4 linked regions of the Arabidopsis thaliana genome follow. The protein of the gene in region 3 binds, or shares a complex with, the protein of the main gene of each other region. Each region holds a gene or a part of one and is shown on either strand. Other genes may lie near its edges. The genes, in order: TAF11b, TAF5, TAF13 and TAF6B.

Region 1 (5,411 bases), 6.4 Mb from region 3:
ACAATGCTGGTTCGAAGAAATTGAAGAAAGAAGAGAACGATGACGATGATGATGATAACAAACCTATCAAGTCATCTGTATCTGGGTCTCGAGCTAAGCCAGTGAAGAAGAAGGAAGAGATTGATAAAGACGATGAGAAGAAGCCTGTTTCTAAGAGGAATTCTTCTGTTGGTGTCTCAAAGGTTCGATTTTTATTTCTTTCTCTCTCTGTTTGAGTATAAATATTGAGGATGGTAAAATATTTGATGAGGCATTGTTTTGATTATGAGTCTCTCTCTTTGTTTATAGGAGAATAAGAAACCAGAGAAAGAAGAAGAAGTAAAGAAAAAGAGAGAAAGAAAAGTATATGATTTGCCTGGTCAGAAGAGAGAGCAGCCTGATGAGGTATTTTTTTGCTGCTCTGTTTCTCTGCTTTTTAGATTTGTTGTTGAATTCGTCTGAAGAATTTCTTTTGTTGATTTTGCAATTCTGCAGAGAGATCCACTTAGGATTTTCTACGAGTCACTTTACAAACAAATTCCCACTAGCGACATGGCTCAGATTTGGTAAGCTCTTCTATTCCTTTCTCTGCCTTACATTGTTCTGCAACTTTAAAACACTTACACTTAATGTTTTGTGTTTGGTATGTATCTGATTATTTGTGTTTGATCACTCAATCTGCAAACTGAGTCCTACACCTTAAATTATTCTTTTGGGACTTGATGCATACTTGCGTTTGATTTTCGATGGTCTCTTGTGTTTTGCGACACGGTTTAAGCTAGTTCGCATAAATTTTGAACATCATAATTGGACTCACATTGTATGTAAGAAAGGGGAGTCCTTTCAAACCAGTCACTCAAAGCATTGATTATATGATCTGTGATGGTTATGTGTAATATTTGCTTTTAGATTGCTTTGTTTATTTGAAAACCCTTTTGTGGTTTTGATCACAGGTTGATGGAGTCTGGATTGCTTCCAGCCGAAAAAGCAAAGAAAGTTCTTGAGAAGAAACTGCAAAAGGGTGGAAAATTAAGTTCTCCAGTAAAATCTGCTGCTTCTACTCCAAGAAGCAACTCCAAATCAGTGACCGTGAAGAAGAAGGAAGTACAAAAGTCGCCATCTGAAGCTTTGTCAAACAAAAAGAAGGGAAATGATTCGAAACCAACCACGAAGAAGAGGAAGAAGAACTCTGATGATGACGACTCAGATGATGATTTTTTGGCTAGCAGAGTCTCTAAAAAGGCTAGAGCCAAGTAGGTTGAATTAAAAGACTGAAATCTCATTGTGTTATTTGTAATCGTTTCTTAGGGAGTCAATTTGTAGAATGCTTGAAAGGTGAATTCTTTAAGAGTAATGAGAGAGATGGCCAATTGTTTCTGATCTTATCGTGTACTTCTTTAGTTATTAAGCAAAGACTTAATCACGTTTGGTTTAGAGCATGATAGTTACTCTTCGTCCATGTCACTACTTTGTAACCTCGTCATTCTGACTAGCGAAAAAGCCGTTGAACTGATCTTTGAGGCACTTTTCCTTGGAGCTTTAGTCTTCGATATGACTCTCTGATATGGCAAGGTCTAATAGGTCCTGATTCCTTCCTTTCCCTCATAACAACTCGAGCTGTTTCCACAAGGTCGCCAACAAACATCTTTGCGATACCACGCACAACGATGTTCATAGTGTCGTCCATCTTCGGACCCCCTGTGATTCTCTGTACCAACTTCTCCATGTCTGATTTCTTAAAACCAGATCTTCTGAAAGATTCATATCTGCTCATTTGTTCCTCTGTAAATTGTGATAAAATCTTCTGCATCTTGTTGGCTCTAGTCACAGGATCAGCACCAGTTATGTTTTTGGTGAACTCAACTTCATCTTTGTTCTTCGCTTCAGCAACAACGGACGTTTTACATTTCTTCACAGCTCTCTCATCTCCTTCAAGAGTCTGCTCGGTTTCAACAGGTGATTCCTCTTGCTCCTCCATTGCTGCTTCAAACGGATCCTTCGAATGCTTCATTCTTAATAAAACCTTAACGAAAATCACATATCTTTGGATCTTAAAACTCCAAAATTCAGCCAATTTTTTTGTTGCACATCCGACCACACTAGAAAAAATCCGACATGAACATGAACTCAAAGAAATCAATTTTTTGTACTTGTAATTACAAGTACCTTGGCACTGGCTGATCTTTCAGACAATTGCAGTTACAAGTAACCCGCTCGTTGCTACTAGCAAAACAACAAGACCTTGCGTTAAAGGCCATTTATTGTCAAGCCTATTTTTTAAGAAGCCCAAATGTAAAAGTCGGTGGGAAATGAAGTATCTTTATTTATAGAGGCAAAAGTTTAGCTTCCTTTATACTAATTTACTCGATGTGGGACAATTGAGAGAAGTGTAAAATTTATATACTACACAGTAGCTTGAGAAGCAAGGACGTATTATCTCAAATGGAAAATACAAGACACCCAAAATAAATGGAAACTTCAAACTTTCTTTGAACAAATTACTCAAACAAAAAACACATTTAAACAAATTTCCCATTTTTTCAATGTTTTTCAATCAAATTTAAATAGAGAGATTTCCAAGAGTCGTTTCCTTGTCTTTTAAGTAAAATGTTTGATTTGGTGGATCAAGTCTCATAATCTCCCTCCTCTTCTTCTTCAACATCATACTCACCTTCCTCATCAGCAGTAGCATCTTGGTACTGTTGGTATTCAGCGACCAAATCATTCATATTGCTCTCAGCTTCCGTAAACTCCATTTCGTCCATTCCTTCTCCTGTGTACCAATGCAGAAACGCTTTACGCCTAAACATAGCCGTGAACTGCTCACTCACTCTCCTGAACATTTCTTGAATCGACGTCGAGTTACCCACAAACGTCGCCGCCATTTTGAGCCCCTTTGGTGGGATATCACAAACGCTGGATTTCACGTTGTTTGGGATCCACTCAACGAAGTAAGACGAGTTCTTGTTCTGTATGTTTAGGATTTGCTCGTCGACTTCTTTTGTGCTCATCTGTCCTCTGAAAATAGCAGAGGCTGTGAGGTAACGTCCGTGACGTGGATCAGCTGCACACATCATGTTTTTGGAGTCCCACATTTGTTGAGTCAGCTCAGGAACGGTGAGTGAGATGTATTGTTGCGAGCCACGGGAAGTGAGGGGCGCAAAACCCACCATGAAGAAATGGAGACGAGGGAATGGGATTAGGTTCACCGCGAGTTTCCTGAGGTCAGAGTTTAGTTGTCCGGGGAACCTTAAGGAGCAAGTCACACCGCTCATTGTTGCGGAGATCAAATGGTTCAAGTCTCCAACTACATCATCATGCAATGTATCAGAATTAGTTTTAAATACATTTTGGGTTAATGGAGGATAAGAATTGGGTGTACTTACAGCTAGGAGTGCTGAGTTTGAGGGTACGGAAGCAGATATCGTAGAGAGCTTCATTGTCGAGGACCATGCATTCATCAGCGTTCTCTACAAGCTGATGGACAGAGAGAGTTGCATTGTAAGGCTCAACGACTGTGTCAGAGACTTTAGGAGATGGGAAAACAGAGAAAGTGAGCATCATTCTGTCTGGATACTCCTCTCGGATCTTCGATATCAATAGTGTTCCCATTCCTGAACCTGTGCCTCCTCCCAACGAATGGCACACCTGAAACCCTGTAAAATAATGCAGCCCCATGATTCACATAGTATTGGTTCCATCGATGAGACGAAAAAGTGTTCATATATAGTCAAGCAAACATCTTGTTACTAGTCCTTGCTAACTAAATCAACTATAATGTTTATGTGAATCTACAATGCTTTAAAACAATAATCAATGAATCTACAATATGCGTTAAAAAATATTTCTCCCCAATAATAACAATGCACACTAGTAGTCATAGACTCATAGTTATAATTGAAGTTAAATAATCAATGTATAAAACGAATCACGTGAGACCTGACCAAAAGTAACTAAAAAAACGAATCACGTGAGATTGTTGTTTGGGCTCCACAAGCATTATCTATAAACTCTAAAGGCAAAAGAGATTTTTATTAACTTTTTACTACAAAATTCCAAGAAATCTATATGATGTAGTAGGACCACTCCATCTTTTATCCCGTAATCACGGTGCCTTGAAAATGTTTTGATCACGACATCACAATGATATAATATCTTATCTCTGAAGCTTTAATATGAAGAAAAAAACTTGACAAAAAAATATCTCAATACTATACAAAACAGCTTGGCCCTACCAATAATAAGTGCTAACATCCCACTCCACAGAAAACAGCACTTGCATTTCAATTATTTCGTTGCTGTCTTGCAATTACATTAAATAAGACGATTTGATTGATCGTATTACTGAATAAGAACCCACATGCACTGATGCACACCAATAATAGATAAACAAGATCATCAAAGTAAAAAAAAAAAGAATAAAAAAAACATACTATAGTACACTTACTAAACCGTGACCTAATTTTACTAATTATGTAGATAGATATCATACTATATTACAAGAAGAGATCTATGGTGATAAACGATTATCGATACGGTGACGTCAGACAAATTACGAATGAAATGATTATTGAATCAAACTAAATCCAGTAAATATACGAATTATGATGCACGACATCAAACACTATAGAAAATTTGCGTATAATGGAAAATTCAGAAAAAGATATATATAGTACCTTGAAGGCAATCGCAGTTCTCAGCTTCTTTACGAACAACATCAAGAACAGCATCAATAAGTTCAGCACCTTCAGTGTAATGACCTTTAGCCCAATTATTACCAGCACCAGACTGACCAAAGACAAAGTTATCAGGACGGAAGATCTGACCAAACGGTCCGGATCTGATACTATCCATAGTACCAGGCTCAAGATCCATAAGAACAGCACGAGGAACGTATCTTCCACCTGAAGCTTCATTGTAATAGACATTGATACGTTCAAGCTGGAGATCTGCAGTGTCTCCACTGTAACGTCCGGTGGAATCGATGCCGTGCTCGTCGCAGATGACTTCCCAGAACTTGGAACCAATCTGGTTACCGCATTGACCACCTTGAATGTGAAGGATCTCTCTCATTGTGTTAGTGTGTGTAGTGGTTCACAAGATCGAGAGAGAGAGAGATGGTGAAGGAATATGAAAGATGGGAGTGACAGCTAATATAACCAATTGTCTCTGTTATTCATCACTTCCCTCGCTTGCGAGGTTTTTATTCTCTGTTTTTTTTCACCCCACCTAACACTTTTTTATCTTAGTCATTTTACATTGTCTTATTCACTCAAAATTTACCGCCGAAAGGTTTTTAGATTGGCATAATTTCAGATTTCAGATTCAGTGTTTAATTAGCAACTTGGAGCATGCATGTGCATATATTGCCAATGTATGTTGTTGACATGTTGTATACACATGAATATGTCTATACAAAAACAAGCTTTATA
Region 2 (10,121 bases), on a different chromosome or scaffold from region 3:
AAATATTATTTTTATAATAAATACAACATATATAATTTTAAGTAAATGTGTAAAATTTGTATACAAGTTGTTCTAGTAAGAAACATGTTTCCTTTGTATTAAAAGATCTAATTTTTGGCCTAACTTAAAATTAGTTTTTGTATAATGTTTTGGTTATATTTGTGAACCTAATTGGGCCCTATATTAGATTATCTTTGATAGGGCTCACGAAAAAACAGACCCGATAACCAATCCATTATCCGAACCAAAAAACCGGGTTAGAGCGGGTTAGAATTTTAGGAAATTTCCTTATTAGGTAGAGTTTTAGTAAACCCGTGGATATCCGATTGGTCCAGAAATTACCCTTTATCCAAAGAGGGTATTCAAAAACCCAAACATTAATTTAATATCCAAAATATTAATTATATTTAATCGTAATATAATCTAATTATCTAAAATTATAATTATAAATCTAAATATGTCAATTAATTTTGGACCTAAATATCCAAAACAACTAAACTATTCAAAAATTATGTGTTATGTTTGTCAAAATTTAGTAAAATATATTCAAATATAATTAAATTTATTAAAACTTAACAAATCTAAAAGTTTTTTTTGTTTGGAGACCCACTATCTACATACAAAATACCCGTTTCAATTTTTTTGGGTATTTTTAGGGCCTGAAACTTTTTATCCAAACTGACGCAAACCCAAATGGACCCGACCCGAACCAGAACCAAATATTTAGAATTATTCTATTGGGTAGTAAATCATATACCCATTAATCCCAAACCCGAACGGGTTCTACCCGAACGGGTTCTACCCGAACTTGAATAGGTTACTCATATGCCCAGCCCCATTCTCTGATTTAATTATCTAAAAACTCCCAAAAAAACATATGTTTTGCTGTCTACGTTTTATTCGAAAAGTTTTACATCCTCTTCTGCCAAAATCATTTCATGGGACATCCTAAAACCCTTGGAAGAATGATTCCATGAATGAAGAAATCCTAATTTGAATATACCAAGAGGTCTTGAAAGGTTTTAAGTTTTTGATAGGTGTGTATGTGAGAAGGTACAAACATCGTGATGGTAATTTGCTTATTTATAATTTTAACTTGCAGTATACCGCATGTAAGCTTATATTTTAGTTAAACTAAAAACTTTTATTGTAAAGATGATTATAAATATACGATATTATTTTATTTGATTTTAAATGTATAATAAACTACGAGTTGTATATGTTTTGTTGATATTATTTATATTGTTTAGTGTTTAAAATTATACACTTGTATTTTGATTGTTAATTTTAGAGTTTCACCTGTAGTATACCATCTTGTATTAATATCGATCTAAACCCGTCAATTCTAGGATTTTCCAGCTTGTATTAAAAATTGAATCACATCATACACATAAAAAAATCTAATATGTTATTAATTATTGTAGTATATAAGATTATAAATTTTCAAAACAATATATATGAAATTGAATATAAATATTCATATTATGACCCAGTACTCAGTAGAAAGTTTTCTTAAATCTATTTTTGACCCGTTATAATATTGTTTCATGTATTGAATAGTTTATATTCGTTTTTAAAAATTTAAATTATGGCATATGCGAAAAAATTCTAATTATTTTTTTATAGCGATGATATTATTTTTCGCAAAAATAGAATCATATAAAGATGAGAAGTGAACTATAATAATTAATAAAAAAATTAATATGATAATTTAGATATCAAATCCAATTTGTTGATTTTAATTGGTTACTTTTTTGGAAATTAATAATGTATTTCGTTTTTAATTAAGTTTAATTAATTAAATTAGTATTTGACTTTTTAATTCTTAAAGAGATGAATTAATTTACTCTTTAAATTTTTTTTTCTAATTGCATATCTATATAATTACTTACAAAAGATAAGGTTACATTTAAAATATACTTTCCAAATAATATTGTATGATATAGTTCTGAGTCTGTCCAAGATTATTTTTATGCACACACTAGTATAAAAATATGGTAAAAATGGACTAGATATGCATCATGTTAACTTTATTTGTTTTCGAAAAAGTAATGAGAAAACTGACCGGGAGAGATCTCATATAAGAAGATAACGAGTACCACATTCCCACATATAATTCCAAATGTAGACAATTGTCTAGTCACACAACCAAATCTACTTTTGGTAGATTTTATGTCTCATCCAAAATTTTGATGCAAATGTCTTTCAAAACATGTTTTTTTCTTTCTTTTCTTCTTCAGCTCTCAATTTTATTTTATTTTTGTCGTCAGCTCTCTATTTATTTAAGTACCGTCTCTAGAAATTAGGAGAATTAAATGTTTTCACAAAATAAAAAATATGTTAGTATCTGAAAAGTTTCTAAAAAATATGTTCTCTAAGAAAAAACATAATTCACAACATACCACATAACCACCCACCCTGTCTTAAGAAAGATTTCTCTCGACACACGATGTCTTTTTGGGGAGATTCATTACATGTTTCTATTTTATTAACGTTATAAATTTTGAGAATATTTGGTTGTTGTTCTTTGCCTTATTCATTTCGAGTAGGTTTTGATTCATGATAGAGGTGACATGCTTAAACTAGGGTGTTTATTAGAAGGAAGAATGTGGCTTTGACATGCTTAAAGTAAATCTGCTCCAAGTCGAAGATAAGTGATTCCTGGATTGGGACACATGGCATACATAAGCAGGAGTAGTTGTTCATTAAAAGAATCTTCAACATTTTTGGGATTTAGAAATGAGAAACAAAAGCCACAAGCAAATAATCTTTGGAGATAACTATTCTACACCTGATTTCTTCTGAGATCTACAACAGCTTGTAAGAATGTTAAAGCATCAATATCTGATACCATTGTTTTGATCAGTTTGCGGGTTTAGAGATCGCTCCTGCAGCAAACAACAAATTTCTCCGAGAAAACTGCATCAATGTAAAACATGAGTTTTAGTGTATGCCTCGATCAACGAATCCTAGGTGTTAGAGGAAAGGTTCTATATGATACTGATGGATAAAATCTGTTTGGCACACACCCTGAAACTTTGGTTCTAATCAAGTGTTTGGTCACTCATTATCGGGATGTGTTGATCACAAGCACAACATGATAAACTTAGGGATGAGAGAAATACCACGGTGTTTAGAGAATGGTGGAATTAATTCTAGTAAAGAAAGCATAACTTACCCGGAGAGCGTGAACTGGTGTGGACTTGGTGGGGAAAGTCCTGAGTGAGCGCAATCTGTTCGAGTTTCCATTCCTGATCAATCACAAATGATAAATCGTTTTTAACAAAACAATCTACCATTCAAAGGGAACAACAATACAACTTGAAAGAGCAAACTCACTTTTCCTCGGCCTTTGTCAATTTGGTACTTGAAGTGACGTCCCACAGTTTCACTGTGCAGTCTGCGGATCCAGAAGCCAGAAGAGAGCCCTCCCCGCTGAAACAGGAAAACAGGTTAGTCATAAATTGTAGTAGTTCTATGATTTATCAAAGTGGAGTTTACGGTTCCAATATTCCAAGCAAGTGGATTTTACCAACCAAAACCAGTCATTCCATTAACGACCCAACACATTAGGCCTATACAACATTCCACAACCCATGACAAGAACCCTATGTTAGAGCTAACACAAGAGTGCGTGGATATAGAAAAATCTACCAGTTCAGTAGTAAGTCACTGTAGAATTAATAGAAATAGCCACACCATACCACTCTATATCATAACCCTGAACTACCCTTTAAAAAATGTTGTCCTAGAAGAAATTCCAGAGATGATAAAGCATATCAACCAAAACCAATAGTTGGCTGAAAAAAGGATCATATTACGTTTTCATTGTGTATTACTAACTCAATAAAAGTTGAATGATCAAATAAAGCTATTTTCTTCTTCTCTTGACACCTCACCTGTATGAGAGACTCCAGACACATGAATTATGGCCCATGAGAGGAGTGATGCAGCGAGCAGTTGAGAGGTCCCACATCATTATAGTGCCATCTTCATCACCGGAAGCCATATATCTCCCATCTGGAGACATCGCCAATGATAAAACCATACTCCTGTGCCCAATGAATATCCGGACACATTCTCCAGTTTGCACATCCCAGAGTCTAACCGTCTTATCACTACTACCGGTAGCAATGTAGTTACAATTGGGATGCCACTGTACACACTGAAATCAAATGCATTTGACAAGTACAACGAAAGTCGCATCAATAGGTATCCAAAGAAAAATTGAAGTTACTGATCTGACTTAATGTCAATCCAAATAGTTAAGTAATCCATCGTAACCTTATGACTTTAAGCGTATTGGCTAACAATCTTTGGATCAACTATAAACTGGACGATTCTTAAATTATGAATGTCAGGGTCACGTTAAAATAACAAGTGGGTACTAATCTAAGTCAATAAACAATGTAAAATGTTAGATAAACCATTGTAAACATTGATACGGTGAATTAATGACTTCAATTGCATAATAAAACGTTTTAAGAAATTTATCCATGCATTTAATTAACAACTCAATTGGTCCCTTCGATTTAACCTTTGCAAATTAAACCCAAACAATGAAGATGAGGGAGACACTCACATCAACATCAGATAGATGCCCTGCCATTATCCGAAGAGGTTGTATTCGGTCCATTGACCAAATCCGTGCAGTACGATCATGAGAACAGCTTGCAAAGTAATGACCGAAAGGGCTAAACTGCACCATAAAATGAGTATATAATATATATACATGTCCAGCCACCATAAATTGCAGGTTATGTAAGAAACATGGGTTAAATTGAATTAACTATACCTGGGCATCCCATACAGGGTAATTATGACCCTTGTAGCACACGAGATTAGCATTTAGTTTTGTGCTCCACAGTCGTACTGCACTTATGAATACAGGGTTGGTAACTAAAAAAGTCTGAACTAATGAGCCAGTGTATGGATTTGTAAAGTGATGGACAGATACATACTTGTTGTATCTGCTGAAGAAGATAGAACAAAATCTCCAGGGGGACTGAAAGTGGCTGAGTAAACTGGCCCTGAATGACCCAGTAATAATGTATAACTTCTTCTGCCATTTGGTCCTATGCTTTGATCACTTGAATCATTTTCAGCCTGCAAAGCACCTGGAACCAGACAGCTTAGTGTCTATAACTCTCATGGAAACAAAAACAATCATTATGAGAAATCAACAAAAATGACAAGCGAAACGTATGAGATAAATATCATTCTTAAACGTGGATGTCAATACAATTTTTCAGAGAATTAACATACCACTGCCAGCTTGTCCTATCTTAGCCATGTCCCAGACCTGAACACCATAATTGTCACTTGGCATCATTTAAGAGAGGAAGAAAACAAAAAAAGGGAAATGTATCCAACCATCCGAGAATAACATACCTTTATTGAAGAATCTGAGAACCCACCAGCAACCAGAGATCCATCATGAGATATAGATGAACAGTTTAACCTGGGGGAGAATAAAAGAGTGAGTAACAAGGTTGCAAATAAGTAGTTAAAATTAGGAGGAGAGGTGGACATTACCCGTTATGAGTATTCACAAATGTATAAAAGCTGACTGATGGCATTGCAACACTACTCAACTGCACACGGTTTCTAAGGTCTTCAAGGATGGATTGCTCTACATCTGTGGACCTGACAGAGAAAACAAGGAGATGGAGCAAAATTGATTTATGTTAAAGGAGGTTGAGTCTTTGACAAATACAAAGACTATGTTCATTTCTCCTAAACAATCATGCATCACCCATAGATATCACATGTTCATTCCTTTTTAATCAAATCCCAACACAAAAAATGGGTAAGGGATTCGAAAGTACATTACTGGCAAGGCAAGTTCTGGTTTTACACGCGGCGCCGGTGACACCGTAATGGTCTCCAGACGTGCAACTTTTGCTGTTGCATTACCCGCTTTGTCCTTCTTCAACTTTTTTAAGGAAGAGCCTTGCTTTCCAATTTCAGTGGATCTTTTCTGTACACAGAATCAATTGACGAGTAAAAACGGGATTTCAGTTCAGAAATTATTGACTAAGTTGAAGCTATGTATCACCTTACTATCATCTGCATCCCCGTCTTTACTTTCTCCTTGTCCCTTCTCAGAATCAGACAGCAGACCTCCTGTCTTCTCAAGGCGATCTTCTAGTGAATCTTCAAGCAACTGTAAAAGAAAAATGCATATGTAGCTATTAACTACGCAAATATGTTATCATCCCTGGGATGAGGCATCAACATGTTATAACTCTGGAAAAATAGAAGAGAAAAGAAACTTTAGGGGAAATACGTACTCCCCACTGTATTTCTTTTTGATTAATGTGATTAGCAGTGTCCTGAAAACTCCCGACAATGGTGACAGCTTCTATGTCATCGGATGAGGAAGTAGGCTGTCCCGAGTAGACTGCAACAAATTATCCATGACCAATTGATTCAATTTTCTACTCAAAAAACTGCTACAAGCTATCGCATATATAAGAGAAAGAAACACATTTACCTTGGAAATTGATGTGCTCGTTAATAATACCAAGCATTAAAGTCGATACTGTACTATGTAGATACTGAAGTAACAGCTCATATGAATACTGCAACATTCAGTAAGCATATTAGAGGTCTGCAGTCACGGAATTCAGTTAATCAGACCAGAAACCTCGAAGCAGTTGCCTATTACAGCTACTAGTCAATTTTCACTCAAGTCTACCTGACAAAACTTGATGTTAACCTTGCTTTTTCTAAGAGAACGAGCAAACTCCATCTCCTGATAAGAACCAAGATCATAAGAAAGATAATAACCAAAAAAAAAAAAAAAAAAATCCATTATCAATATTATATGACCATATAAGGTTTATCATAAACCTCTAGATGAGATGGAGAAAGCACGCCTTCAAGCTTCTGAAGATCCCGTAAGTGTACCATCTCATGATCTTTGCGGAAGCTGTTAAAGAAGGCTCTAGCTGGAATACAAGAGACGTATTATTTCCCACAGTAGCATAAGTCACTGTTTCCAAAAATCTTATACCGAAGGTAAAAAAAATACTCAGTACATCTAATTTGCTATATTGACAAGTACCTTCTTGAGTGTGCCCTTTCCCCACCAGATCCATGTAACAATGAATAAACACAGGATACATCACTCGAAGCAATTCATGCTACAAAATTAGAATCATCTCGTCAGTTCAATTAAGCCTGTCTCTACCCAAAACAGCCAAGGGATACACAAAAAAAAATCCCCACCTTATATAAATCCAGAGAATTATACGCCCATGACCTTAGTTTGCTGTAACCTTCACGGTACCGAGTTGGATCATCTTCTTGTCTGCAAACAAAAGAACAGACATTTCATTACCATTAGCTCTCTCTACATAAGCCATACAAAAAAACCTAATTTCTTGCCACTGAGATGTCATCAAAATCTTAAATTTGACAGATAAACTGATAGAAATATTCACATAAACTTCACCCAGAAAGTGAATTATATTCATTTTTAGATTCTCAAAAACGTTGGAGCTTACATAATTTTTCCTTACGGTTTTCAAAATTCACAAAAGACACTAAAACTTTCCCAAAAATTCAAAACACAATTCGCATTAAGAATTGAAACGAGAGAGAGAGATAGGGAGAGAGATTACTGAGAAAAGGAGCGAATGAGCTTCGTGAGCTCAGGATCGTTATGATAATCGACAGAAGTGAAGGAGCTACCATTATTGTTCTGGTGATGATAAGATTCAAGGTCTTTAGCAGCGCTACTGAATCCTTTCTTCTTCAAGTAGCCCACGACGAACTCGTTGATTTGCTCTGGATCCATTGTTGTCTCTCTCTCTCTCTCTCGATTCAATTTCCTCTCCTAGAAACTTGTATCTCGTCGCTGAAACATCTTCAGTTTTTTAGATTCCGTGTCTCTACAAAACTGGGCCTGTTTCAATGGCCTAATTGTGGCCCAAATATAATAATTTCAAAGTTATGATTAAAACCAGGCCCGTCTATGGGGGTGGCAGGTTGGGCAAATGCCCAGATTCAAAATTTACTAAGAGTTTTTGAATTATAAGCCCATGACCTTACTTTGATGTAAAATCTCATAACCATTTTCTTTTTAAATTACTTGCTTTGGATTCTCTATTTCAACTTAAAGATTGGGACAAGATACCAATATTTATTGTTTGAGTAATTAATTCTTACAGAATTATTGAAAATTATCCAAAAAAATGTTATCTTCTCAAAATTTCTAACTTTTATTTAAAAAAAAAAATAACTTTCCAAAACACCCAGTTTAAAAATATTTAAACAATAATTCTTAAATCAAATGTTACAATGGTTAAACTAAACACTTGCAACAATTTATTGTATATAAGACAAGGTCAGTTATTTCCTCCCACAATGGTTAACTCGTTTTCTAAAAATATATTATAAAATTTTGGATATCAAATAATCAAGAAAAATTCTTTCAAATGCCCTTTTCATGATGCCCCTTTTCAACTCTACCCTTTTGTTTTATCCATTTTTATTTATATTCTCTTTAAATTTTTAATTACCATTTTACCCTTATTTGGAAATTGTTTTAGGTTAACAAAATGAAATATTAATATTTTTTCGCCTAAAATATTCTAAAATAAATTTCCCGCCAAAATTTTCCCGCCAAACCTTTTCGAAAAAAATTCCCACCAAAAATTTTTGAAAAACATTTCCCGCCAAATTTTGTTTTCAAAAATATTTTTCCCGTCAATTTTTTTTTTTGGCGGGAAATAGATTTACAAGGAATTTTAAAAGAGTTTTAAAAGATTTACAAGGCAATTTAAAGGGGTTTTATAAGATTTACAAGGGATTTTAAAAGGGTAATTTACAAGGGATTTTAAAAGGTTTTTAAAAGATTTACAAGGGATTTTTAAAAGGGTTTTAAAAGATTTACAAGAGATTTTAAAGGGATTTAAAAGATTTACAAAGGTCTTTTAAAGATTTTTAAAGGGTTTAAAATTGTTTTAAAAGGATTTTAAAATATTTACAAGGGATTTTAAAAGGGTTTTACAATATTTACAAGGGATTTTAAAGGGTTTTAAAATATTTACATAGGATTTGTAAAGATTTTTAAAGGGTTTAAAAGTGTTTTGAAAGATTTACAAGGGATTTTAAAACCTTTTAAAATTACTTGTAAATCTTTTAAAACTCTTTTAAAATCTCTTGTAAATCTTTTAAAACTCTTTTAAAATCTCTTGTAAATTTTTTAAAACTTTTTAAAAATCTCTTGTAAATCTTTTAAAATCCTTTTAAAATCCCTTGTAAATCTATTTGGCGCTAAAAAATATTTACAAGGATTTTTAAAATATTTTTTTTGGCTGAGGAAAAATTTTTTACGAAAAAAAAATTTGGCGGGAAATTTTTTTGTTGGCGGGAATTTTTTTTTTTGGTTGGAAAAAAGTTTGGCGGAAACTTTTTTTTGGCGGGAAAAAAAATATTTTGGCGCCAAAAAATTGGCGGGAAAATTTCAGTTTCCAATTACATGTTTTTATTAGATGAGGGTAATTTGGTCATTTTGTTCAAGGGGAGAGATATTTTTAAAAATGGACAACATGAAAGGGTATTGTTGCAAAAGGGTAGTAAAAAAAGGCTAGTTTTGCAAATCTCCCAATAATCAATACATATAATTTTCAAGAACCAATCAAGTCCTTATATAGTGAAAAACTAGTATTTATTGTTGTTCTATAAAATAGTTTTCTATGTATGGTTTTTAAAATCAGTTGTTGTTTTTTACAGGGGAGTCAAATTCAATCAATCACAAAATTTTATTAATAAGATGTTTTATATCTTATCTCACTGTTACTATTTCAAGGATGTGTTTTGCACGGAACATCTTCATGATAAGCTTATTTTACAATAAATCATACTTTCTTTGTTTCTTAATATTTGTAGTTTAAGGTTTTTGCACATAAATTAAGAAAATATACAAATCTTATTTAATTTATTTCTTTTCTATAAAAACATCATTAATTACAACTAATCTAACCAATAAAAAAATATGATTAATTAAAAACTATAAAATACATTTAATTTTAGCATTGAAAAGTGAAAACAACACGGAAAAAAAATATATCTTCAAACTACACTTAATTAAAAATAGAGAGAGTACTAAA
Region 3 (6,471 bases):
CTCATCACGAAATAGATCACTAAGGCATTCGCCGAGATTGGTATTTTGTTTCATATGAAGTAGTTGGAGTATGAGGCATTTGGTTTTGATGCATAGTTGAAGAGTCGAGATTTTTGCATCATCTTGAGGATTGGTCTTGGAGTTTAGAGAGATGATCACCGTTGGTTCATCTCGGTAGGTTAATCGTATGGCGAGGATCCAATTCTTGGCTATGGAAACTTCATTTGTCACCGTTGTTTCTATGAGTTTTTCACGAAATGGAATCAACTGTGTAATTGTTACCATCGCTCAGTATGATTTTTCACTTACGCATATGTCCATGCATAATATAAACGGTTGGTATTATCAAAGTCTTCAATTTTCGAAAAGAACTCGATTCAATGAATTGGTCAAATGTGCTATTAATATGACCAATTTCCGATTGAAAACATTGAACATAAAATATTTAACGAGATCTTTAATCTGCAAACCAAATTTAACATTCCCCACAAACACAAATAGAATTTAGTAGATATACTTCATTCTCCTATTTTCTCATTAATGAATTCAAATACACTCACTAATTACAGAAACAAAAATGAAGAAAAAGTTAAAAGGAATTAAATTAAATTATAATACAAAAACCAAAAATGACCAAGAAATTAAAACCTGAATGATGATGACGTAAACTTGATAGATGATACGAACCATAATTAATAAGATCATTAATGCATCACTATATATCCCTTTGGCTTTGCAACGATCAGTGTAAACCTGATTTTGCATCTTCATTATTGCATAGAACCTCAGCTTTCTCATCAATCATATCGTCTCCTCCTTCCACATCACTATAACATTCATCTTCTTCCTCATCAATATCATCATCATATAAGGACATGGCTGATCCATATCCCGAGATTCCTGATGATGATGAAGATGAAGCCGCCGTGAAAACCTCCATAGTCTCTGATAAACGACCCTCGGAATCATCATCATCTTCATTATCATTATCACCATCGTCTCCTCCCATTTCTGTCGCTGGCAGAGGAGGAGGAGCCGGAGGGAGAACAATTGTGTTAGTAAAAGTTGACGATGGCATTATCGTAATTTCGAAACGGAGTTTACGTACGGACTTAACGACTCGCCGCCAGAACCTGGTGTTGAAGGGTTTTCTCCCCGGCGGCGACGAAGCATGAACATGACGACGGAGAACATGTGCATCCCACGTGATGACTTTTTCTTCTTCATGCTCGTGTTGTTTATTTGCTCTATCTCTAATTGATCACAATGATTTTCTTTAGTTGGTAATTGATCACCATTCTTATTTATTGTTTCCATGGTAAAATAATGAATCAAAATATCAGAAAGATGACGAAAAATTTAGAGAAAAACAAAAGTCTTATAATGATGACTAATTTTATAATTATTGCGGTAATTAATTTAATGAAAGAAACAAAAATCGGGTGGTTATTCTAAATTTTTAGGGTTTCGAAATTCCTGACTCAAGAAAAATTAAAGGTCGTCCGTAGATATATACGGGATGCTAGATAATGGGCTTTCTTCTAATGGGCCTACATTTAATATGAGTCGGCCTTGTGCAAGATTTTTTTTCACCTTTTTTAAGTCAACACACTTTTTTTTTGCTACTGTGCTTCGAATTCTGATTACAACCTAAAACGCTGTCCCTAGTCCGGCATCCATGAGGTTCCTCTTACCTAGCATTTGTTCCTCCCGTTGAGGAAAAGCAAGATCAATCAACGAGTTCCTTTTCGTCGACATCAAAAGCTTTGCGTGCTTGTTTCAGCTCTTCCTGCATCGCCAACAGTTCTCTACAGCGGTTCAGTTTTGGCAAATCCTGCATAAATCAAAGACGCCAAAGTTTCGGATATAGAATACAAAACCATAAACCATCTCAATCATCGATTGTGTACTTTTTAAAAAGAATTTTTACCTTGCGGATAAGATACAAGAAATCATCAACTAGAAGTCTTCCTCGCTTTGAACCAATTTCTTGAGCTTTATGTGTCTGCCATTGAAACATCACTTGTTAGCTAATATCTCTCCGCTTGTAATGTAAAACATGAATCATTCACAAAAAGAAAAAGCTCACTACCAAATCTGTGACGTATTCCACAACAATGTCTTCTACAAGCGCCACAGACTCTGGAAGAGGCTAAATACAGAGGAGTTTTGGATCAGTTTCAGGTGGTAAAACACTAAAAGATGTTACACGACCAAGAACCCTTTAAAGCAAAGATTCTCTACCTAATTCGTTACTTGTATTGGAATGAAACTATATCTACAAATACGGTTCATATGGCAACAAAATAGTAATGAAGAGGATAGCGGCTTACGTTTTGCTCGTCGCCAAATCCATACATCATATGCTGCACTGAAAAATCAACAAAAGCACCAAAACCATTGTTACCAGAAGAATCACAAAATGAAGAATACAAAAATCTGGTTTTAACTAAAGACTTTACATTCTTTTTGAAAGAGAGTTTTGCGCTTTTCCTGTGGCTGAGAAGTTCCCGCAGCTTTCGATTTAGACGATGATGACGCCGCCGCTGCTGGTGTGTTACTCATCTCTTCTTCTTCTTCTGATAATCAAAATCCAGGAGAGCAAAATAATAGAAAAATAAGTGAAATTCCTCTACCGACAAAATCCAATTGAGTCAAATACTAACCCTAGGTGAAAATTTTCAAAAAAGAAAAAACAGTGTAATCTCAACTAGAAAATGAAATTCCGAGCCTATATTCTAGATTTCTACCGCAATCAAAACCAGAGAGCTACCGGAAAGTTGTATTCCGGTACAGTACAACAACCAACGGAGTTAAATCGAATAAGGTTCTTTATCCAAATATTTGTCGTCATGGAAAAGGAATGAAAATTGAAAAGGGAATAGTGAGAGCAGAGAGCTCACCGTAGATTGATCGACGGGAGTAGCAGAGGTGGTCGTTGCAAAATCGGCGATGAAGATGATGAGAACGAAGAAACGGGGACTTGTTCACTGATCTCTCTCTCTCTCGTAGAAGAAGCACATTGCATTACATACGAAGTAATTGGGCTTAATAAATAGGCCCATTTATATTAAACCAGCCCATAATCTAAACCAGAAACCCGTACACTAGTCGACCGACATTGTAACTAAGTTCTCACGGTATGGCTCAAACCGGCCATGGCCTCATGCTCAATATTCTTCGGGAGAAGGAAAAGTTTGTGATCCGATTCATATACAATCTATCCGGTGCTCATCATATTACACAAGTATGTATCAAATCTTTTAGCTTGAGCCTAATTTTGTCCTGTCAAGACTCTTTTTTCTATCTATACAAATTTTCTATCATGTTCTTCATCTACAAGATTTGGTTATGCGAACAGGGACTTGATATCGTCTTCTCCCAGCTTTTGTACAACGGCCTCTTCAGAGTCACCTAACGTACTGTAACAAAGCAAATATGTCTTCATATAGGCTTCATACAGTTGACAATAAGAAACCAGCAAAGTTGAGAGAAGCGTATCGTTTAAAATAAGAAACCTTTCAAACAAATCTTCCTTCTTCTTTTGAAGCGTTAGTATCTTTTCCTCTACTGTTTTCTCCATTATGAATCTTACAACCCTGTCACACAACCAAATGTTTCTTCTTTCTTCCCCCACCAAAACAACATACAGTATATTGAAGGACAACTCAAAAATATAACCTGACAGGCTTGCACTGTCCGATCCTATGTATTCTGTCCTGTGCTTGCCTCTCAACCGCTGGGTTCCACCACGGGTCCATCATGAACACCTATACAATCAAACACCCGAATGTCAGTGAATAAAACATGTTCTAGGAGCAACTGTTTTATAAGTTGTACACTTCTTACATGCGAAGCGGCTGTTAGATTTAGAGCAACCCCTCCAGCTTGCAAGCTCATTAATAAAACTCTGCAATCTGGCTCTTCTTTAAAATTTTTGAGTGCAGCATCTTTAGCTGCCTTGGACATGCTTCCCACCAGTTGAACACAGCTAACCCCAGACTGCGTTGTACAAAATGAGTCAATCATTTTTATTCAATGTCTCATTATGATTAAAGAGAATGTTAAAGGAGCACAGATATAGTAGTAGTAGCATTTTGTAGTTGGTTGCGCTTGAAATTACCTTCCCCAAGGCGTAACTTATCAGGTCCAAGAATGATGTGAACTGGCTGAATACTATTGCTTTGGCAGACCAATCTCTTTCAACCATGAACCTGATTTCTTCTCTCTGCATACAAATTTTTTTTATCACCAAATGGTTAGATAAAGCCTCCAATCTCCAAAGAAACTTTAAGCGTGGGAGAGACAGAAGCTGTAGATCTCAAAGGGCACATACCAAAGCCTCAATCTTTGTACTTGTTTTAAAATCATCGAGGTTTATCCGATTTAAAATGCTAGAGGCTCTAAATCCTTTAAGCTTTGTCTTGCTTGCCTGATGTTCACTAGAAGTCACCTTCAAAGTAAGAGAACCAAAGACATATTAACCGAACAAGTTAAGTCCAACATTAGTCATCCGATGATTCTTTAAGAAAGTGTAAAATGGTGGCAGCTATTTCCAGAAGATACAGTTACTGAGAAACAAGAGTCGAGATAGTATGAAATAGCAACAATATATCGACTGGAACACTTACAAAGTAGTCCTTGGAAGGGTCATGGCCGAAACCACATTCTTTCTCATTTTTGTTCGCATCAAGCAAGTTAGCGTTAGCGCCACTAGGACTAGAATAACTCACCAGGTATGGATGATCAACAGCCTGAAAAAATTGCAAGAAAATGCATCAGAAATCTATATACCTATATCATCCAAAACATGCACTGGCTTGTAAATAGAACAACAAAACTATCGATACCACTCACTTGTCTCAGTCGGATAAGAAGACCAAATATATGTGCATAGTTATTCATCAATGTCCCAGCCTGAATATACCTGCAGAAACAAATGTACATGTCAGATTTAATAATAAAATTCAGTTTACACAAAGCATGGAGCAGAAACCAGTGAAAATCCATAGAACAAAAGTAACTTACCCATCAAATGTTGTCTTGCTAACTTTGTATAGTGATTCATAGAAATCAGCTTCTACTACACTTAGTGCATCTCGCCTCAGAGAGATCTAAATTTATATGTAGAGATCAAGCTCGGAAGCAACTATACCAAGCTTCATTTATATCAGACAAGGGAGAGAAAGGAACATACGATTCTAGAAGGAAGAGCAAGGTCAGCTGCCCGGCCCAATTTAGTACGTCTTAGTAGAATGTCCTTTAGAACATTTTGTTTAAGGAATATACAGGCTCTGTTTCTCCGTTTGTCCACATTCTAGCAAGATTGGAAAATATAAAAACCAAAGAACATAATGGTGATCCTGCTTTTAAAATGTTTTTAATAATGGCACCTCAAAGTTACCTCTTTCCACCAAGAGATGTGTTGATTTGCATTATGAGGACAGCTGGGACATTTTCGATGCGCACTGCAGTCACCGCCAAAGCCCAAAGGCAATGGACAAAGGAAATGAAACAGCAAAGATTGTTATGAACTATCAAACAGAAGTATGGGAAAGGAGAAAGTAACCAGGAATTGAGAGTGGTAAGATGTTACCTCCGATCAAGAACTTCACAGTCACATTTCTTGCAAAAGTAATATGAGTATGGCGAAACGCGAAGGAAGCGTATCTGGGACAAACAATCAGCAATGTTGAGATATCATTACGTGCTATAGAAAAAGTTGAGGAAAGAGTAACTAACCAGGGAGTAGAGCTCGTCAACATCATTCTGGAGAGGGGTACCACTCAGAGCCCATCTGTAGGTCGCCTCCAAAGCAAAAACAGCTTTGGCAGTGCGACTACTTCTGTTTTTGATATCATGAGCCTGATATGAAGACAAACGGGAATTATATCAAATTTGCAGTGAGCTTCCCCTGAAGGATAAAAGATTCACAAAAAGCAAATTTGCAGTGAGCTTCCCCTGCTGTGGTTTACTGTACAATAAATCTCACAGTCCCCTTTCCTTACATGCTTGAAAATGGAAAAGAAGAAGAACCAGCAGGTCTTGGTACTGACCTCATCGACGATGATACGATTCCACTTAATAGAGTGTAAAGGAGACATTGTTTCGTCCACTCCTTCATCCTTCCTATATTCATTCTCAACTATGGGAGATGTTGTCAAAACAAAGTCGTAATTCATTAACTTTTGAACATTCTTGTCTCTCTTCGGCCCATGGTATTGAAGAACCCTGGTGCTTCCCGGGGATGTCAACCGAGAAATCTCATCTAACCACTGAGAAAGAGCAACAGGAGGAACAAGCACAAGGGTGTGCCCAACTGCTTCCCTAGATTTGGCTCTGTCAACTTCCCGTCTGGCAAGAACGAGAGAGATGGCTTGTATTGTTTTCCCCATTCCCATCTCATCAGCGAGAATGCCTCCTCTTACGGCTGATAGTTCCTGTATTGTAGCCCAAGCCAAAAACTCCTTT
Region 4 (7,195 bases), about 20 Mb from region 3:
GTGCTACTGTAGGTTATGAAGCGCTACACTTTCTCAAATCTCTCAGAAGCTTCACAGAGTTTCGTATCTTCTTTTTTTCACTTGATATCTTCGCTAGCAGAAACTTTCACGTGAGTCCAGAGCAATAACATCCATTGTTGGATAACAATTTCTACGCTTAAAGTTCTATTAGATTGATATTGATTTGTTTAATGCTTTTCTAGGTTCATTTACATGGGATTTGATATTGCCATGGAGCAGCATAGCTGGTCCCATGTTGGGTTTATCCTTTTCTCTATTGTATCCTCATTTACTGATCGTCAGTGATTGTATGCAGTGTTAGTCAGTGTTGTAAATCCTTGACTTTACCTTTTGCTTCTGCGTTTCATGACTGACATCAGTTGTTTATTGGCGTGGCTAGGTGACTAAATGCTTTTTTATCCTGGCTGATCGCTTCATTATCACCATGGTTTTCGATTCGGATTTACCTATATGTTCTGCAATGCTTTTCTCACGCAGGGCTGTCAATGTATTTGGGTGTGCATATTTGGTCAACCTATTTAGACAGGAGAACCAGAAGATACCTATGAAGCACCAAAAAGCCCTTTGGTATAGTGGTGAGTTGAGCTAATAGCTTTTGTTCTTGTCTCCTGATGCCCATTTTTATATCTACAAACTATTAAAACTTGTACACATATTGGCACATCGATAGGACTTCGAGGGGCAATGGCATTTGCACTTGCACTTCAATCACTTCATGATCTACCAGAGGGTCACGGCCAAATCATCTTTACTGCAACCACAACTATTGTTGTTGTCACGGTAACTTTCGTATTCTCTCCATGAAAAGCATCTATGTTATTTCCAGTGGTAGTATACATAAGAATCAGCGAGAGTTGGAGAATAATACATAGGCTGCGTTTCTTATCCATTGCAGTAATATTTCAGGTTTTACTAATAGGAGGTTCGACAGGTAAAATGTTGGAAGCTTTGGAAGTTGTAGGTGACGATCTTGATGACTCCATGTCTGAAGTAAACTCTCGACGATCTACTCTAATATCTTTGAAGTAAAGTTGTGTATGTACTTTTTCTAACGCTCCCAGATACGTGGTTAGGGCTTTGAAGAGAGCGATCATCAGTATGTCCCTCCTCCTTTTAGCATTGGAGCTTCATCTGACGAGGATACATCATCATCAGGAAGCAGGTTCAAGATGAAGCTGAAGGAGTTTCACAAAACGTAAGAATAAGAGAATGGCTTAGTATGTTTTCCTGAGTAAAAAGCGATATTTGCAATTTTTTGGGACTCACTTGACAAAACTTTGCAGCACTACATCATTCACCGCGTTGGACAAAAACTTTCTGACTCCGTTCTTCACAACTAATAGTGGAGATGGAGATGGAGATGGGGAGTAGCATGGAAAAGATGTGTATTTGTGGTCCAGGCCAAGCTATAATTAGAGTACACATATGTCTATGTAAGATTAACACTGGTTGATTTTACCTCTCGCAAAATGCCCACTATAAAGTTGACGATTTCCAAGACATTTCGAAATATTATATAGATGTATTTATTGTGGTACATACAATTACCATGTCAATAATCTATTACAAGAAGAAACTGAGCTCATGTGTGGGGGTGAACATAAGCATGCTCTCACCAAAATACTCAAAAAGAGGAAAGAGATAGTTGTCGACGTCAGTGCCTGCAGCAGCTGAAGTCTTCGGAGCAATTGTTGAGGGACTATTGTGGTGCCGTGCATCTGCATCTGTGTGGGACTGTTGAGGGACTGTTGTGGTTCCGCGCATCTGCATTTGTGTGGAGCTCATTTGTATAATTCCCCCTACTGCTATCTTCTTCAGTGGTGGTTGATGAGTTAAGTTGTCACTGCTTGCTTTGCGTTTACCTTGGCCGAAGAAAAAAATTATTTAAGAACGCGTATCTCCGTGTTTAGAACGCCAAAAGAAAAAAAAAGAATGAGACCAGATTTTATACTTTGCCTGGGGCTGGTGAGCTTTCCATTTGTCTTCCAGACAGAGCTAGTTGGAGGAGACAGCAGTGTCTCAGATGTTTTAAGCCGTTCATATAGGCATCGACCAGCTGCCACCTATGGAAAGTTAAAGTTTATATGCTCTCCTGCCTGTTTTGCAACACGAGATTGAAAGCAAACAAGTTTTCTAATTTCTGTATCAAACTAGAAAGCATACTCACCATCAACGCTCCATAAACAAGCCAAGCCCCATGCCTCTTAGCTTCTTCCTTCTGCTTCTCAAGTCCCATTTCAGGTAAAAGAAGCAGCAAATACGGCCCTAGGTTTGGGAGAACAAGAAAGCGAACCTAGACAAAGGTATAAAGCAAGAAAATACTTACGGACGACCAAAGGATATATATCTTAAGGTTCAATTGCAGGTTTAATAACTTTATCGAGGATGTCGGATCATGCTACTATTAGTTTTAAACTTATGCTTTCTTATGTAAAAATTCTAGACGCACAACCTAAAGTGCTACTCTTCGTTATGATAATCAAGAAGCATCAAGAGGAAGTACCATATTAAGCCCAAGGGCTACCATCCCTTGAATTGCCCCATAGTGTTGTGGGAGTGCCTTGGTTGGGTCCAAAAAGGTATGAAGCAGTGATCTTGTGACACGTGGCAACAAATTGTGATAAACGTGTCCAAACCTGTAAAAAGTTCACTAATGTGATTGCAAGTTATATGGTTGTATAAGATGCATGAAATCACAAAGCAAGAATGTAACATTAACCTTTTGCACGTTGAAGCAACTGTGCTGGCAGTGAAGTTTCTCAAGTCCCAGTGATTATCAGATGACCTTCTTCCTAAGCGCTTGGCAATAAGGCAAGTGATAATAGACGGCATCAACTGATGCAGCTGAACAGAATACAACAAGTTAAAAGTCAACAGAAGGAGGAGAAGGGAGAAGAGAAACAAAAAAAAACAAAAAAAAAGTGTGCGCACAAAACTTACATATGGCTCAATATGTACATGAGGGTTATGAAGGAGGCTTCTAGCAAGACGCATCAAAGCCAACAAGATTGGATAATTATCCATGTTTTTGACAATCTGGAGAAATTGCAAGCACAAAAAAAGTAGTGAAAATGTGGTCAAGTTAGAATAAAAGTCAAGACTAGAAGTGTTGGATTACAAAGACAAACCTCTTCAGCGATGAAAGAAGTGAAAAAGGGAACTAATGGGTGGAGTCCAGGATCAATTTCCAAGCTGGCGAGTGCTTGTCTAAAGAGGGTGGAGCCAGATTGAGTCAAAGCCCACTCCGTGACTTTGTCAAAGTAAATCTGCATCGAGAGCAAGCAAGGATTATATAGCATTCAAAGAGCGAGGTAAAGACCCAAAAAAAGAAGGGAGTAAAATAACCTGAAGGTCCTTAGAAAGCACCTGTCTAGCAGCCAAGCCATCGTCCTTATATTCCGATCGTTTAAGGTCAGATATGGCTACAAATTGTCATGGAAGAGGGATTAGAAGGAGAAGTAGTAGGTGATGCAAAAGAAGACAAAAGAAATACCTTGGAGAGGAGAATTCTGTGGAATGGAAGGTTGAATACCATCAATTGCCAACCAATGAGAAAACAGATGCATCAGGAGGTGCATTTGGTAGAGGAGCTTCGATAACCTGCACAAGAGACCATGAAGGGAAGCTTAATAACAATAAACAACATTTCACCATCTTCTTCATTCATGGCCAATCAATGAAGCTTACATTCTTGAGCTCGACATCTTTGTCATCGAAGAAGTATAGATCTCTGTTCTCAGGAGCTCTCTTGAACCGCATACTTTTGGAGCCAGAGGTAGGCTATACAAAAAAAAGTCAAAATCAGGGTCAACGGTATGAAATAAAAGAAGAAGAGAGGAAGAGGAAACCTCCAAATTCCTGAAATGAAGAGCAGAATCGACATCATGAGCCATTAAAGTGGTGCGTCGAGCATGACGCATGCATTTGATAGCTTCCTGGAGATTGCGACGACAAGTTAAAGAGGAGATTAGAGGGCAAAAGTAAAGTTGAAGTTGATGATATACCTGCATGACCTCTCGGACGCGATACTCGACATCGGGAGCAAGAGCGGCTGAGACGTCCGGAGAAAGAGTGGAGAGTCCAATGCTCTGAGCTATCACTTCAATGGATTCTTTCGTCACCATCCTCCTTGCGCCTTCTTTCTTTTTCGACTTTGAGCGACTGAGTCGAGTCAGTCGTGTTACATTTTCTCACTCTATCAGGCTTTCTCAAATGGGCCCATCGTTAGATTTATTGGGCTTATGATAAATACTCAGCCGGTTTTGAATTTTTAGCTCATCTCGCGTGTTATTTTTAATCAGAACTTCGTTGCACTCGTATCTGTATCAATCTCTCTATTTACTTGCATCTTCAGTCAACGTCAAGTCTGGTAGATTATATACAAAATGGACACCAAACATGTTTCTTATATGTTTCATGACACCCGTTTGCAGATTTACCTGCTGCTTCTGTCTCTTATGTAATCAATCAGGTTTTGATCAGCTTTCACTTGGCACCTCCTTTTGATTCAATCTACCGTACAAAGAATCTTGGGCATCCACGTCCTCTATTCGCCAGTTACGTTCATTGCTCTTCGGGTCTGCCGTTGAGATTTGTAAGATCTTGTTATGGAATTTCGTTAAAGTCCGGCGGTGGCCAATGCTTATATATGTAATGCCAGCCGACTGGATTTGCTGGTACAGGAACGCCTGGGCATCAAGAGGAATTTTAATGGCTCAACGCTACATGTACATGATATTATTCTAAATGATAGATGAGAGGAGAACCAACAAGTACCTCATTAGCTTCATCCAACGCACTGGTGGATTCATCCAGGAGCGCCAGCTTTGGCTGAGACAGCAATAACCGTGCAAAGGCAAGGCGCTGCTGCTCACCAAGTGAGAGAACACTGGACCACTCGTGTATCGAATCAAGACCACCAAAGCGATCCGCTATATGTCCAAGACAAACCTTCTCTAGAGTCCGCATCAGATCATCTGTTGTCGGCTTTTCATTTCCGTCCTCTCTAATCAGCAGAGGTGGTGAACCTAACAAAATCAACGCATTTTTTCTTCAGTCGATTTGCTTTTGGGTTCTATAATCTGCTTGCATAAACTTAAATGGAGTTGAAAGAAATGGTTGTTACTAGACACAAATTTAAACTGAGTACCGTCAATATTACTGCCACCAGGTGTCGTCTCCTCCACAGTTGCACTCCAGGTAGGATAAAGCAATTGCTGACGCAAAGATCCCAGAACCATATAAGGCCTTTGTGGAAGGAACAATACGTCTCCTCTTTTCCCTGAATTTTCCTGAGTATCAGATTTCTCCTGTGTAAAATCTACCTCAGGATCGAGGTAGAACGTGATTTTTCCTTTCCCTGACCTCCAAAGACCAGCCATTGCTCTTAGCAGCGAAGTTTTTCCACTCCCACTAGGACCCATTATCTGTTAAATGGCATTTTTAAGTAACTTCCAATCTACCAGTCACATGCTTTAAACACAAGTAGTCAAAGTGAACTAACCAGTAGGTGATCCTTGTCATATACATCTGCAGATAAGTTGTGAACCAATGTGGTTCCGTTTGTTGGTGTCTGAAGAGTAAGCTCCTCGATCTCCAGACGCTTTTGGTTCGGTTGGGACTTGATTGAACCATTGGTGTCCAGCAGTGAAGAGTTCATCTCACTCTGATATGTCAGCTCAATCTCGTCCACAGTGTCAGATGGATCTCTGAAGATGTTGTTATCCAAAAGATCATCAAATTCACCTGTGTTGGAAGAAGTCTTGATATTGTTAGATGCGTAAAAGGAGAATCCCAACCTACAGCAAATGCAGTTTTTCATTTAGCCGTAGAAGTTGATTTGCAGAAACAATGAAACTTTGTGAATATGTTGTACATAAGACATAATTTAGACCCAATTTTAAGCAGGAAAGTGAACAGCTGACTCGATCTTTTTGTCTGCCCATCACACTCTCAACGGTTACACCCGCATTTTTTTCCGGGTATTCACTCTTAGATATTATAAACAAAATCTTACTACTATACAGTCTAACTATTATCTATATATTCTTATCAAAATCCTACTATACACCACACTCTATACTGTTATAACACAAGAAAATAACTAACTACAGCGACACACTGCAACTTCTACTCTTCGATATTCTAAACAAAACCCTACTACTAAAATATCTATTTCTCACCATCAGGTAACAGAAATTATGGTGATGTGCATATTCTGCGTCTAATGTTGTTCGGTATTGATCTAAGGTCTTGTGTGATCTGTAAGCAACAAGTAGTATATATATAGAACATTAAAAGAGAGTGCAGAATACATAATTAATCTACCTAGTCGATCAATGACAGCAGAAAAAGAGCTGATAGCTTGAAACTGATAGACAACGAGCGAGAAGTCTCCTAGGATATGATTGAATGCAGACACTGACTGGTTAATGACACCAAACTCAATCTTCCCGGAGAAATACATTGGGGCAACAACAGCAACTGGAAGAATCTGAATGAGGTAGCGATATCCATCGGTGAAGAATTCTAGGTTTCTAGATGCTATCAGCAATTCCTGCAGGTGAAAAAATTGAATGTAATTTATTGTGCAATCTATAGATATATATATAAATGGATAAGAAAGCTCGAGAAATTTTACAGTTAAATTATCAAAAGCGCTTCTGAAACGCTGAAGCAGAAGCTGCATTTCATTCTGTTCGCCTCCATAGAAAGCAATAGATTCAGCATTTTCCCTCACTCGTACAAGGCTGTAACGAAAGTCAGCCTCTTTCTTCTCTTGTAGAAAGTTGAGATTCACTAGTCCCTGAACACAAGAGGGAATGTTAATGCAACAAAGCCAAAATCTGAAGCGGAACAGAATAGAGACAATCACACTGCTTAACGAGGCATTGTTGTACCTTGCCAAGAAAGACACTGATGGCTGTACCGCCAAAGGAGTAGAGCAAGAGAACGAGAAAGAGAGGAGGATAAATGGTGAAGAGGATGTTGCTAAAAGAGATGAGATCAATGGTGGCATTAACAAGCGTCAAAGAGAAAGACAAGGCAGTTCCAGTGAAGGAACTCAAATCGTCAACAAGGCGCTGATCAGGATTGTCGATGATAGACTGAGACTGGATCTTGTAAAAGGTTTGATCTTTGAGATAGCGCTGCAGGTAATATTTGGTCATCCATG

What was found.
Region 1: TAF13 (region 3) and TAF11b share a complex: the UniProt entries of both Arabidopsis thaliana proteins name them as parts of the TFIID complex.
Region 2: TAF13 (region 3) and TAF5 share a complex: the UniProt entries of both Arabidopsis thaliana proteins name them as parts of the TFIID complex.
Region 4: TAF13 (region 3) and TAF6B share a complex: the UniProt entries of both Arabidopsis thaliana proteins name them as parts of the TFIID complex.

What each region holds. Positions count from the first base shown.
Region 1 is NC_003070.9:6,935,430-6,940,840, forward strand, and holds TAF11b (TBP-associated factor 11B), read right to left. Parts: upstream 2,238-5,411; coding exon 2,146-2,237; intron 1,992-2,145; coding exon 1,469-1,991; downstream 1-1,468. Other genes in the region: AT1G19990 (nucleolin), read left to right, coding at 1-182, 289-384, 475-545, 933-1,236; TUB5 (tubulin beta-5 chain), read right to left, coding at 2,604-3,286, 3,366-3,635, 4,656-5,052. UniProt on the Arabidopsis thaliana protein: TAFs are components of the transcription factor IID (TFIID) complex that is essential for mediating regulation of RNA polymerase transcription.
Region 2 is NC_003076.8:8,674,800-8,684,920, reverse strand, and holds TAF5 (TBP-associated factor 5), read right to left. Parts: upstream 7,873-10,121; 5' UTR 7,805-7,872; coding exon 7,629-7,804; intron 7,316-7,628; coding exon 7,234-7,315; intron 7,149-7,233; coding exon 7,070-7,148; intron 6,954-7,069; coding exon 6,856-6,953; intron 6,758-6,855; coding exon 6,701-6,757; intron 6,585-6,700; coding exon 6,497-6,584; intron 6,404-6,496; coding exon 6,294-6,403; intron 6,167-6,293; coding exon 6,059-6,166; intron 5,981-6,058; coding exon 5,829-5,980; intron 5,647-5,828; coding exon 5,536-5,646; intron 5,462-5,535; coding exon 5,392-5,461; intron 5,303-5,391; coding exon 5,266-5,302; intron 5,118-5,265; coding exon 4,962-5,117; intron 4,873-4,961; coding exon 4,796-4,872; intron 4,700-4,795; coding exon 4,583-4,699; intron 4,166-4,582; coding exon 3,900-4,165; intron 3,436-3,899; coding exon 3,340-3,435; intron 3,252-3,339; coding exon 3,179-3,251; coding exon of another isoform or gene 3,134-3,178; exon of another isoform or gene 2,920-3,133; coding exon 2,863-2,919; and 2 more. UniProt on the Arabidopsis thaliana protein: TAFs are components of the transcription factor IID (TFIID) complex that is essential for mediating regulation of RNA polymerase transcription.
Region 3 is NC_003070.9:577,178-583,648, reverse strand, and holds TAF13 (TBP-associated factor 13), read right to left. Parts: upstream 3,025-6,471; 5' UTR 2,904-3,024; intron 2,580-2,903; 5' UTR 2,566-2,579; coding exon 2,463-2,565; intron 2,372-2,462; coding exon 2,334-2,371; intron 2,153-2,333; coding exon 2,093-2,152; intron 2,006-2,092; coding exon 1,931-2,005; intron 1,835-1,930; coding exon 1,730-1,834; 3' UTR 1,339-1,729; downstream 1-1,338. Other genes in the region: AT1G02670 (P-loop containing nucleoside triphosphate hydrolases superfamily protein), read right to left, coding at 3,350-3,422, 3,519-3,599, 3,682-3,770, 3,850-4,002, 4,124-4,228, 4,337-4,453, 4,632-4,754, 4,858-4,927 and 6 more. UniProt on the Arabidopsis thaliana protein: TAFs are components of the transcription factor IID (TFIID) complex that is essential for mediating regulation of RNA polymerase transcription. May be involved in polycomb repressive complex 2 (PRC2) mediated repression.
Region 4 is NC_003070.9:20,287,550-20,294,744, reverse strand, and holds TAF6B (TBP-ASSOCIATED FACTOR 6B), read right to left. Parts: upstream 4,146-7,195; coding exon 4,026-4,145; coding exon of another isoform or gene 3,957-4,025; coding exon 3,709-3,956; intron 3,622-3,708; coding exon 3,515-3,621; intron 3,444-3,514; coding exon 3,367-3,443; intron 3,288-3,366; coding exon 3,150-3,287; intron 3,058-3,149; coding exon 2,962-3,057; intron 2,866-2,961; coding exon 2,741-2,865; intron 2,658-2,740; coding exon 2,525-2,657; intron 2,315-2,524; coding exon 2,189-2,314; intron 2,085-2,188; coding exon 1,973-2,084; intron 1,884-1,972; coding exon 1,585-1,883; downstream 1-1,584. Other genes in the region: NHX5 (sodium hydrogen exchanger 5), read left to right, coding at 13-110, 204-279, 381-400, 499-596, 692-801, 928-1,011, 1,095-1,216, 1,305-1,392; ABCD2 (ABC transporter family protein), read right to left, coding at 4,500-4,709, 4,798-5,048, 5,171-5,447, 5,525-5,766, 6,349-6,577, 6,662-6,826, 6,921-7,195. UniProt on the Arabidopsis thaliana protein: TAFs are components of the transcription factor IID (TFIID) complex that is essential for mediating regulation of RNA polymerase transcription. Not redundant with TAF6.